Saccharomyces cerevisiae S288C: one gene and its partners. Each later gene encodes a partner of the first gene's protein in a complex. Each region holds a gene or a part of one and is shown in the gene's direction. Other genes may lie near its edges.

Region 1 (3,945 bases):
ATAACTCCGGGATGTCATTGCCGGTGGTCCGAAAATCGGCAAATAAGGAAATAAGGGAAGAATATGCAGTAGTCAAATCATCAGTGTTCTCTTTGATACCTTTCAGGGCTAGGAATAGTGGGGGTGGAGTATAATATCAAAAACCGGACTTAACATTATTGGTTCGGTTGGAATTGGCTATAGGCAAACTAGTCTCCGGCATGATATATAAATGACAGCCTGCAATTGTATGTTACTACACTCTTGACTTGTCGACTACAGTCGCTGCTCAGGCACGAGAATAGGAGGTAAGAAGGTAACGTACGTATATATATAAAATCGTAATGACAAAGATTAAGGTAGCTAACCCCATTGTGGAAATGGACGGCGATGAGCAAACAAGAATAATCTGGCATTTAATCAGGGACAAGTTAGTCTTGCCCTATCTTGACGTTGATTTGAAGTACTACGATCTTTCCGTGGAGTATCGTGACCAGACTAATGATCAAGTAACTGTGGATTCTGCCACCGCGACTTTAAAGTATGGAGTAGCTGTCAAATGCGCGACTATTACACCCGATGAGGCAAGGGTCGAGGAATTTCATTTGAAAAAGATGTGGAAATCTCCAAATGGTACTATTAGAAACATTTTGGGTGGTACAGTGTTCAGAGAACCTATTATTATCCCTAGAATTCCAAGGCTAGTTCCTCAATGGGAGAAGCCCATCATCATTGGGAGACACGCATTCGGCGATCAGTACAAAGCTACCGATGTAATAGTCCCTGAAGAAGGCGAGTTGAGGCTTGTTTATAAATCCAAGAGCGGAACTCATGATGTAGATCTGAAGGTATTTGACTACCCAGAACATGGTGGGGTTGCCATGATGATGTACAACACTACAGATTCGATCGAAGGGTTTGCGAAGGCCTCCTTTGAATTGGCCATTGAAAGGAAGTTACCATTATATTCCACTACTAAGAATACTATTTTGAAGAAGTATGATGGTAAATTCAAAGATGTTTTCGAAGCCATGTATGCTAGAAGTTATAAAGAGAAGTTTGAATCCCTTGGCATCTGGTACGAGCACCGTTTAATTGATGATATGGTGGCCCAAATGTTGAAATCTAAAGGTGGATACATAATTGCCATGAAAAATTACGACGGTGACGTAGAATCAGATATTGTTGCACAAGGATTTGGCTCCTTGGGGTTAATGACATCTGTGTTGATTACCCCGGACGGTAAAACCTTTGAAAGCGAAGCCGCCCACGGTACAGTAACAAGACATTTTAGACAGCATCAGCAAGGAAAGGAGACGTCAACAAATTCCATTGCATCAATTTTCGCGTGGACTAGAGGTATTATTCAAAGGGGTAAACTTGATAATACTCCAGATGTAGTTAAGTTCGGCCAAATATTGGAAAGCGCTACGGTAAATACAGTGCAAGAAGATGGAATCATGACTAAAGATTTGGCGCTCATTCTCGGTAAGTCTGAAAGATCCGCTTATGTCACTACCGAGGAGTTCATTGACGCGGTGGAATCTAGATTGAAAAAAGAGTTCGAGGCAGCTGCATTGTAAACTTACTCAATGACAGATTGATTTATTTATATTATATATTCCCTTTTTATCGAAAAACTTTTAGTATTTTCTACTCGTAACATATGATCTTCTGTTCTCACTGAAAATTTTTCTTTCTTCTTTTCCCTCTTCGCAAAAAGAAAATGCTGAAAAAATTTGAAAAATTTTCAAATGATGAGATGTTTAGCTTAGGAAAAATATAATGTAAAGATAGTTTTCAGAACATTTTTTATTGGTTTTTTTTTTTAAAGATTCATTATCATCTGGAGTTCGTTACAACCTACACAGAGGACCGATATACACAATGTCAAAGGAGGATTTCGTTATTAAGCCTGAAGCTGCAGGTGCTTCCACTGACACTAGTGAATGGCCATTACTTTTGAAGAATTTTGATAAGTTATTAGTCAGAAGTGGTCATTATACCCCTATCCCAGCTGGTAGTTCACCACTAAAGAGAGACCTGAAATCATATATCAGCTCTGGTGTCATTAATCTAGATAAACCTTCCAACCCATCATCGCACGAAGTTGTAGCTTGGATCAAAAGAATCTTACGTTGTGAGAAGACTGGTCACTCTGGTACATTGGATCCAAAAGTTACAGGTTGTTTGATTGTTTGTATTGACAGAGCTACCAGGTTGGTTAAGTCTCAACAAGGTGCTGGTAAGGAGTATGTGTGTATTGTCAGATTGCATGATGCTTTGAAGGATGAAAAGGATTTGGGCCGCTCACTAGAAAACTTGACCGGTGCGCTTTTCCAAAGACCTCCTTTAATCTCTGCTGTTAAGAGACAATTACGTGTTCGTACTATCTATGAGTCAAACTTGATTGAGTTCGATAACAAGAGAAACTTAGGTGTTTTCTGGGCTTCCTGTGAAGCTGGTACTTATATGCGTACTTTGTGTGTTCATTTAGGTATGCTATTAGGTGTTGGTGGTCACATGCAAGAATTGCGTCGTGTTAGATCCGGTGCTCTGTCTGAAAATGACAACATGGTCACTTTACATGATGTTATGGATGCCCAATGGGTTTACGACAATACAAGAGATGAATCTTACTTGAGATCCATTATTCAACCTTTAGAAACTCTATTGGTTGGTTACAAGAGAATTGTAGTGAAGGATTCTGCTGTCAATGCAGTATGTTATGGTGCAAAGTTGATGATCCCTGGTTTATTGCGTTACGAAGAAGGTATTGAGTTATATGACGAAATTGTCTTGATAACTACCAAGGGTGAAGCCATTGCCGTTGCCATCGCACAAATGTCAACCGTTGACTTAGCTTCCTGTGATCATGGTGTTGTTGCTAGTGTGAAGAGATGTATCATGGAAAGAGATTTATACCCAAGAAGATGGGGTTTGGGTCCAGTCGCACAAAAGAAGAAGCAAATGAAGGCAGACGGCAAATTGGATAAATACGGCCGTGTTAACGAAAACACCCCAGAACAATGGAAAAAAGAATATGTTCCATTAGACAATGCTGAACAGTCAACTTCTAGCTCTCAGGAAACTAAGGAAACTGAAGAAGAGCCTAAGAAAGCTAAAGAAGATTCTTTAATCAAAGAAGTCGAAACTGAGAAGGAAGAAGTGAAAGAGGATGACAGCAAAAAGGAAAAGAAAGAGAAGAAGGACAAGAAGGAAAAGAAGGAAAAGAAAGAAAAGAAGGACAAGAAGGAAAAGAAAGAGAAAAAGGAGAAGAAAAGAAAGTCTGAAGACGGTGATTCTGAGGAAAAGAAATCTAAGAAATCTAAGAAATGATTCTCATCACTCCATCTCATCCTATATATTTAACAGCTTTCTTTTTTTCAAAAAACTTTTTCTATTATTAGATTAGATTTTTTTTAGTGTGTATATTAATAACGTAAAATTTCTTTATCAACGACTTGTAGTATTCTTTTACTTTTATTTTTTTTACATATGCAACGTTATATTCTTTTTTAAATATCCCCATATACTAATGATAGAACTTTTAAACTTTTAGGCCATTGACGAATTTCATGACTTCAAAACAGTAGTTCAGCAATTGGCCCATGACATTATTTAGAAACAACCATGATAGCAAATTCTCATTTGATTTTAAGCTAATATCGCCGATTATTGCATTCCTGAATCTTGTGCTGCAATCAATTAATTTCAAGCACGAAAATTTGCTTTGTAGGGAAATAAAGGAACAAAAATCTTTAATCATTTCATTTAAGGACTTGCATTCGATAGACACAGAGGGATCATTGCTAACGCTCATAGAGGAATTTAAGAACTTTGTTACGAAAACTTGACAGAACCCTTGTAAATGTTGCATTATTGTGTTTGTCTCTGAATTTGTATCGTCTTCATTAATCATCATTTCCAAAATATCGTCTAAATTTACAATATTCTTCCAGTCAT
Region 2 (4,054 bases), on another chromosome or scaffold:
ACAAAAGTCCATGGAAATATGCTTGGCAAACTCAGTGAAAAATTTGACAATATCATTTGGGTTTGCCTGAGAAACCAGAATAAAAATAGGCTTGACCAGCAGTGATATCAAGTTAGAAGGCATTGTTTTGAATTTTAGACAATTTAGTTTCGCCTGCAAGCCGTCAAAAACGTTTAAACAATAGAAAAGATGCTCCGAAGAATATGATACTAACTATTTATACATATGTAACAGGAAGACAAGTGACAACAAAAACTATTTAAACTATTCAATCGCATGTTTCGGAGTTTCCCCACGCCCGTATCCTTTAGCTTCGTAATAATCCATTGGATAATATTTTTCGCTGAACATGACATCTTTCTTTAGTAAGACACTAGCCTCATATGGTGTTAATAGTGGTTTATTGAAGGCATAACCCCAATCGATGGACAGTCTAGGACATGCGACCTGAACAAAAACATCAATTTGATCGAACATTGCGAGCTTTTGGGGAAAAACTTCACTTAGAATAATTTTCACCACGGTTTTACCTGCTGCGATCAGGTTTTTTTCCAAGTTTTTTACAGTGTTTAAATTACCTTGTCTACCTAATGCACCTAAGATCAGACCAAAAACTTTACCCTTCCGAGCGACTTCAATGGCCTCTGCTCTAACTTCCACGAGTTGCTTTTGATCGTATCCTTCTCTAGTGAACTTTCTGTTGTATGGGTCATACTTGAATGCAGGAATTTCCGGATTATGTATCATTGCAGACTCCAAATGAAATCTACCATCACCGATGAATACCATGGCATCGTATTGTTCTTTATCTAATCTTTCAGAAGTACACCCCAATACTTCACCCCTCGATAGAGGCTTGATTTGTGGTGGAATAATATACAGCATGTGTTCTTCATCGTTAAGCAGTTTATCTCTGACGCTGTGTACCGCAGGATTAAACTGAATGGTACCAAATGTAGCGATTCTAGATCCCTTAGGAAAATTCTTCTGCAGCGTTTTGATAATATGATCTTCTTGAATATTTATAGTAACAAAGACATATAGTACTTTAATCTTTGTAACGTCAATAGGAACTAAACACGAATGAGCGTAATGCACAATAAAATCGCAATCCAATGCCCTAGCAGTAAAATCATCAATACAGCATGCACCATAAGACACATCCCCCATTACTAGAGTTTCAACACCACAGAACTGTTCCAAAATGTCACTTATAATCAATGAGTAAATCAGCAAACCTTCAGGCATCTGTAGGGCTATTCTTTTAGCATTATATTTCCTGATATTCCACACAGTTTTGTGGATTTCAAAGTTGTAGTTAGAGGGCAATAATTTGATGGCTTCATTCAACTCTTTGTCATTCAATATATCTTCTGGCACATGATTAACACTCCTACCTAGGGCGATTCTACTCTTTTGCTTGTGGATTATTTCGTTGCCATTTTCAGCCACTGTAGTTAATTTGTCATTATTACTGTTGCCAGATTTTCTCCCAATAAATCTTCTTCTTGGTTGTTTTTTAGATTCTGTAGAGCCACTCATTACGAAAAAGAAATGCTTCAAGCTATCCGATTATCCTTAAAATTCGCAGCAGATAGTTCATGAGATTTCACTTATTTTATTTGATTGTTATTACTACTACATGTTTTTTTTTTCATCACCATCGCATCGCAAAAATCAGCTGAAAAATTTTGAATACTAAATATTCAGTGTCAAGTGCTCAGAGTAATATTAAGATTCACAAAAGAAGAATACTTGCTATAATCTACCATCACTTCTGAACTATAATGATAACACCAAGATTCTCTATAACACAGGATGAGGAATTTATATTTCTCAAAATATTCATAAGTAATATTAGGTTCAGTGCAGTGGGTTTAGAGATAATCATCCAAGAAAATATGATCATTTTTCACTTATCCCCTTACTATTTAAGATTAAGATTTCCTCACGAATTAATCGATGATGAGAGGTCTACCGCTCAATACGATTCCAAAGATGAATGCATCAATGTAAAAGTAGCCAAACTGAATAAAAATGAATATTTCGAAGATTTGGACCTACCGACAAAGTTGTTGGCTAGGCAAGGCGATCTTGCAGGTGCCGATGCATTAACAGAAAATACTGATGCGAAAAAAACCCAAAAGCCCCTTATTCAAGAGGTCGAAACTGATGGCGTGTCGAATAATATTAAAGATGATGTGAAGACTATTGGTCAAATGGGAGAGGGGTTTAATTGGGAGATAGAGCAAAAGATGGATTCCAGCACCAATAATGGAATATTGAAGACAAAATATGGGTTTGATAACTTATATGATACAGTTATATCAGTGTCGACAAGCAACGGGAACGATATCAATGAATTAGACGATCCTGAACACACTGACGCGAACGATAGAGTTATTGAAAGGTTAAGAAAAGAAAATTTGAAGTTTGATCCTGAGTACTATGTTTCCGAGTATATGACACATAAATACGGTAACGAGGAAGACTTGGAAATTAACGGCATTAAAGAACTACTGAAGTTTACACCTTCGATCGTAAAGCAATACCTGCAATGGTACAAAGACAGTACGAACCCAAATCTGGTCATGCCAATTGAGTTTACTGACGAGGAACAAAAACAGATGCAGGACAATTTACCCAAGAAGTCTTATCTCGTGGAAGATATAAAACCACTTTATGTCACTATACTCAGCGTTCTTTTCAGTTATGTGTTTGAACAGATCGAAAACGAAGGTACTCATACCACAGAGAGTGCTTGGACCATGGGAAAATTGTGCCCTCAAATATCATTCTTAGACCAACAATTAAAACAGGTGAACGAACTGCAAGACGGTATGAAAGAAATATCAAAGGTTAATAAAGACAGCTCTCTCATCAAGATTGCAATCATTACAGGTATCAGGAGAGCCCTGAGTTATCCACTACATAGAAACTATGACCTAGCAATGAAAGCGTGGACATTCGTATATTATATTCTACGAGGTGGTAAGAGACTAGTCATAAGGGCGCTTTTGGACATTCATGAAACATTTCGTTTCCATGATGTTTACTACGTCTACGACAAAGTTCTCTTGGATGATCTGACTGCGTGGTTCATTTCTCAGGGTAGTGAGAACGTCATAAGAAGTCTGGCCTTGGAAATGAGAAAAGAGCAAGAGTCACTTTCCAAGCAGGATATTGAATTTGAATGTATTGCATCGTTCAACGAACAAACTGGCGAACCTGAGTGGGAGACACTAAATATAAGAGAGATGGAAATTTTGGCAGAGTCTGAATACCGAGAGCAGCAGCAGAACCCACAATGAAGATCATTTGAATGTTTAGCGTAGATTACTGCATTAGATAGAGTATATATTGATTAACGTTCCTGCAGGGGCCTAAAATTGGGTTACCCTTCTCTTCCCGCGGCTTTTCCCCTCATGGCATTACGTATTCCATCGAAGAAGGGAGAAGGCTTTCAAGCCTTGAAGAGTGACAGCGATCCAAGCTGGGGGGGGGAAAAACAACGAGGACATCTGTTGAGCCCTTGAATTGGTACAACCTATTAGAGTGTTCTTATATCTGCATTTGGTCATCTTCTTTTGAAGCTTTTTAAAGAAAAAAAGTAGTTAACAATAAAAGAATACAACATTAAAAGAAAAAAAAATGTCGAAAAACAACACAATGACCTCTGCGGTCTCTGATATGCTGTCACAGCAACAGCTAAATCTTCAGCACCTGCATAACTTGCAGCAGCATACGAGAAGTATGACTTCAGCAGATCATGCCAACGTTTTACAACAACAGCAACAACAACAACAACAACAACAGCAGCAGCAGCAGCAACAGCAGCAGAGCGCAAGCTTTCAAAATGGCAGTTTGACATCCGATATAAACCAACAAAGCTATTTGAATGGACAACCAGTTCCTTCCACTAGTAATTCAACGTTTCAAAACAATAGGACGCTGACGATGAATTCTGGAGGGTTGCAAGGTATCATAAGCAATGGTTCTCCTAATATCGACTCGAACACCAATGTAACCATTGCTGTCCCAGATCCCAATAATA
Region 3 (2,431 bases), on another chromosome or scaffold:
TGAAGAAGGGGTAGACTCGGAAGCGTTCCAGCGTCTCCAATATAGGTTCAAGGATGCATTGTTCCATGGTCCACAGGGTATGACCATTATGGGAACAAATGGTGTGCAAACCTGGGATTGTGCGTTTGCCATTCAATACTTTTTCGTCGCAGGCCTCGCAGAAAGACCTGAATTCTATAACACAATTGTCTCTGCCTATAAATTCTTGTGTCATGCTCAATTTGACACCGAGTGCGTTCCAGGTAGTTATAGGGATAAGAGAAAGGGGGCTTGGGGCTTCTCAACAAAAACACAGGGCTATACAGTGGCAGATTGCACTGCAGAAGCAATTAAAGCCATCATCATGGTGAAAAACTCTCCCGTCTTTAGTGAAGTACACCATATGATTAGCAGTGAACGTTTATTTGAAGGCATTGATGTGTTATTGAACCTACAAAACATCGGATCTTTTGAATATGGTTCCTTTGCAACCTATGAAAAAATCAAGGCCCCACTAGCAATGGAAACCTTGAATCCTGCTGAAGTTTTTGGTAACATAATGGTAGAATACCCATACGTGGAATGTACTGATTCATCCGTTCTGGGGTTGACATATTTTCACAAGTACTTCGACTATAGGAAAGAGGAAATACGTACACGCATCAGAATCGCCATCGAATTCATAAAAAAATCTCAATTACCAGATGGAAGTTGGTATGGAAGCTGGGGTATTTGTTTTACATATGCCGGTATGTTTGCATTGGAGGCATTACACACCGTGGGGGAGACCTATGAGAATTCCTCAACGGTAAGAAAAGGTTGCGACTTCTTGGTCAGTAAACAGATGAAGGATGGCGGTTGGGGGGAATCAATGAAGTCCAGTGAATTACATAGTTATGTGGATAGTGAAAAATCGCTAGTCGTTCAAACCGCATGGGCGCTAATTGCACTTCTTTTCGCTGAATATCCTAATAAAGAAGTCATCGACCGCGGTATTGACCTTTTAAAAAATAGACAAGAAGAATCCGGGGAATGGAAATTTGAAAGTGTAGAAGGTGTTTTCAACCACTCTTGTGCAATTGAATACCCAAGTTATCGATTCTTATTCCCTATTAAGGCATTAGGTATGTACAGCAGGGCATATGAAACACATACGCTTTAAGTTTTATTTATAAGTGTTGTTAGAGGCTGCAACAATTAGAAACTAGTGCAAAACTAGTATATTTATTTGTATATGTAGTAGTAAAATAATAGGTGAAAAATTAACATGTGTTTGAAATTCCAGCTAACTATTGGTTATGGTGATTACACGCTAAGTGTAGAGTTCTTTCAAATATACCATTTATCCTTTAGCACGGCTTCACTATTTTTTTCGTCTTTTTTCAACTAAGCGGAAGGAGAAAAAAATTTCAAGTTATGCTCATCACTCTTTTATTACATTATGGTAGCTATAAAGTGGCTTATGTTAGTGAGTTGACGGAAAAGAGAAATACTTTCAATAGACCAATACATAACAAATCCTTTTGAACAAGATGCATTTGATGTACACTTTGGGCCCAGACGGCAAGAGAATCTATACATTGAAAAAGGTCACCGAAAGTGGTGAAATCACGAAGTCTGCTCACCCAGCTAGATTTTCTCCAGACGACAAATATTCAAGACAAAGAGTAACTTTGAAGAAGAGATTTGGTTTGGTACCAGGCCAATAGATTTGGGTAGTTTAAGGGAATATTGTATAGTACGTGATTCTGGCTAGTATGAAAATGCAGTGAATTTTCTTGTTTCATTTTCAATTTTCTAGACCTACATAAATTTGATAAGTTTTTAGGTGATAAATACTAATTATAATTGATCGATTATATGTTTTAATCTCGAAGGAGCAGTGGCCGTTTTCTTATCCAGAACCAGTTCTTTTAAGACTCGCCAGTTTCTTTTTAGCTGTAATAAGGAAAAATAGATTGATATTAGTTACAGTTGTGCTTCACGTTGTTAAAACGTACAAGAAAAGTCTTTAACTGTAGCAACCAAAAAAGGTACTTGATGTCGATATTAAGCCGCATCTCTAGATCTAAAGGCTCCACTCTACTGCTCCACTTTACTGCTCCAAAGAGTCGGCTTACAGATAGGCTACCGCTACATTAATAACTGTGCTGGAAAACCTTGTTTCCGGGAGCACAAAATTGTAATGACATATTTATTTTGGTTGTATCAAGCGTTTCCAACTGTTGATTCAACCAAAAAGCCTCATAGCTTTTAATACGGATATTGCTTAGGGTAGGGCGAAAAAAATAACCAAATCTTTGGAAAAAGCAGTTTGACACCATACAACCAGCAACGACATGGTTTTTTAGTGAACCTGTTGGGGGGAGAGTATAACTCGTGAAAGTTTCGACGTCCTATTTGCTGGAGAGTAGTAAAACGAGCTTGAATAGCAGCCTGCGAATCGAATTAT

Evidence for each region. The genes of interacting proteins can lie anywhere in the genome.
Region 2: the proteins of CBF5 (region 1) and SHQ1 are in contact, whole or in part, in a crystal structure (PDB 3ZV0), measured with the Saccharomyces cerevisiae proteins. Residues at the interface, in NP_013276.1 of Saccharomyces cerevisiae: Ser20 (codon at 1,924), Glu21 (codon at 1,927), Trp22 (codon at 1,930), Pro23 (codon at 1,933), Leu24 (codon at 1,936), Lys27 (codon at 1,945), Leu49 (codon at 2,011), Lys50 (codon at 2,014), Arg51 (codon at 2,017), Asp52 (codon at 2,020), Ser274 (codon at 2,686), Asn277 (codon at 2,695), Ala278 (codon at 2,698), Tyr281 (codon at 2,707), Gly282 (codon at 2,710), Ala283 (codon at 2,713), Lys284 (codon at 2,716), Pro288 (codon at 2,728), Val336 (codon at 2,872), Lys337 (codon at 2,875), Arg338 (codon at 2,878), Cys339 (codon at 2,881), Arg343 (codon at 2,893), Asp344 (codon at 2,896), Pro347 (codon at 2,905), Arg348 (codon at 2,908), Arg349 (codon at 2,911), Trp350 (codon at 2,914), Leu352 (codon at 2,920), Gly353 (codon at 2,923); in NP_012162.3 of Saccharomyces cerevisiae: Ser181 (codon at 2,328), Val182 (codon at 2,331), Thr184 (codon at 2,337), Ser185 (codon at 2,340), Asn186 (codon at 2,343), Gly187 (codon at 2,346), Asp189 (codon at 2,352), Lys215 (codon at 2,430), Asp217 (codon at 2,436), Pro218 (codon at 2,439), Glu219 (codon at 2,442), Tyr220 (codon at 2,445), Val222 (codon at 2,451), Ser223 (codon at 2,454), Glu224 (codon at 2,457), Met226 (codon at 2,463), Thr227 (codon at 2,466), Glu237 (codon at 2,496), Ile238 (codon at 2,499), Asn239 (codon at 2,502), Thr319 (codon at 2,742), Thr321 (codon at 2,748), Thr322 (codon at 2,751), Glu323 (codon at 2,754), Trp326 (codon at 2,763), Tyr379 (codon at 2,922), Pro380 (codon at 2,925), Leu381 (codon at 2,928), Arg383 (codon at 2,934), Asp421 (codon at 3,048).
Region 3: the proteins of CBF5 (region 1) and NOP10 are in contact, whole or in part, in a crystal structure (PDB 3U28), measured with the Saccharomyces cerevisiae proteins. Residues at the interface, in NP_013276.1 of Saccharomyces cerevisiae: Asp65 (codon at 2,059), Lys66 (codon at 2,062), Pro67 (codon at 2,065), Ser68 (codon at 2,068), Trp78 (codon at 2,098), Ile82 (codon at 2,110), Thr99 (codon at 2,161), Val124 (codon at 2,236), Ile126 (codon at 2,242), Ile175 (codon at 2,389), Glu176 (codon at 2,392), Asp178 (codon at 2,398), Arg181 (codon at 2,407), Leu183 (codon at 2,413), Val185 (codon at 2,419), Gln214 (codon at 2,506), Glu215 (codon at 2,509), Leu216 (codon at 2,512), Arg217 (codon at 2,515), Val219 (codon at 2,521), Glu226 (codon at 2,542), Asn227 (codon at 2,545), Thr232 (codon at 2,560), Leu233 (codon at 2,563), His234 (codon at 2,566), Met237 (codon at 2,575), Asp238 (codon at 2,578), Trp241 (codon at 2,587), Tyr251 (codon at 2,617); in NP_058135.1 of Saccharomyces cerevisiae: Met1 (codon at 1,512), His2 (codon at 1,515), Leu3 (codon at 1,518), Gly11 (codon at 1,542), Lys12 (codon at 1,545), Arg13 (codon at 1,548), Tyr15 (codon at 1,554), Thr16 (codon at 1,557), Leu17 (codon at 1,560), Lys18 (codon at 1,563), Ala30 (codon at 1,599), His31 (codon at 1,602), Pro32 (codon at 1,605), Ala33 (codon at 1,608), Arg34 (codon at 1,611), Phe35 (codon at 1,614), Ser36 (codon at 1,617), Pro37 (codon at 1,620), Asp39 (codon at 1,626), Ser42 (codon at 1,635), Arg43 (codon at 1,638), Arg45 (codon at 1,644), Val46 (codon at 1,647).

Annotation. Positions count from the first base shown.
Region 1 is NC_001144.5:504,268-508,212, forward strand, and holds CBF5 (pseudouridine synthase CBF5), read left to right. Parts: upstream 1-1,866; coding exon 1,867-3,318; downstream 3,319-3,945. Other genes in the region: isocitrate dehydrogenase (NADP(+)) IDP2, read left to right, coding at 324-1,562; RFX1 (Rfx1p), read right to left, coding at 3,530-3,945. UniProt on the Saccharomyces cerevisiae protein: Catalytic subunit of H/ACA small nucleolar ribonucleoprotein (H/ACA snoRNP) complex, which catalyzes pseudouridylation of rRNA. This involves the isomerization of uridine such that the ribose is subsequently attached to C5, instead of the normal N1.
Region 2 is NC_001141.2:169,239-173,292, reverse strand, and holds SHQ1 (Hsp90 cochaperone SHQ1), read left to right. Parts: upstream 1-1,787; coding exon 1,788-3,311; downstream 3,312-4,054. Other genes in the region: DPH1 (2-(3-amino-3-carboxypropyl)histidine synthase), read right to left, coding at 265-1,542; SLM1 (phosphatidylinositol 4,5-bisphosphate-binding protein), read left to right, coding at 3,652-4,054.
Region 3 is NC_001140.6:240,153-242,583, forward strand, and holds NOP10 (snoRNP complex protein NOP10), read left to right. Parts: upstream 1-1,511; coding exon 1,512-1,688; downstream 1,689-2,431. Other genes in the region: lanosterol synthase ERG7, read left to right, coding at 1-1,141; oxysterol-binding protein related protein OSH3, read left to right, coding at 2,430-2,431.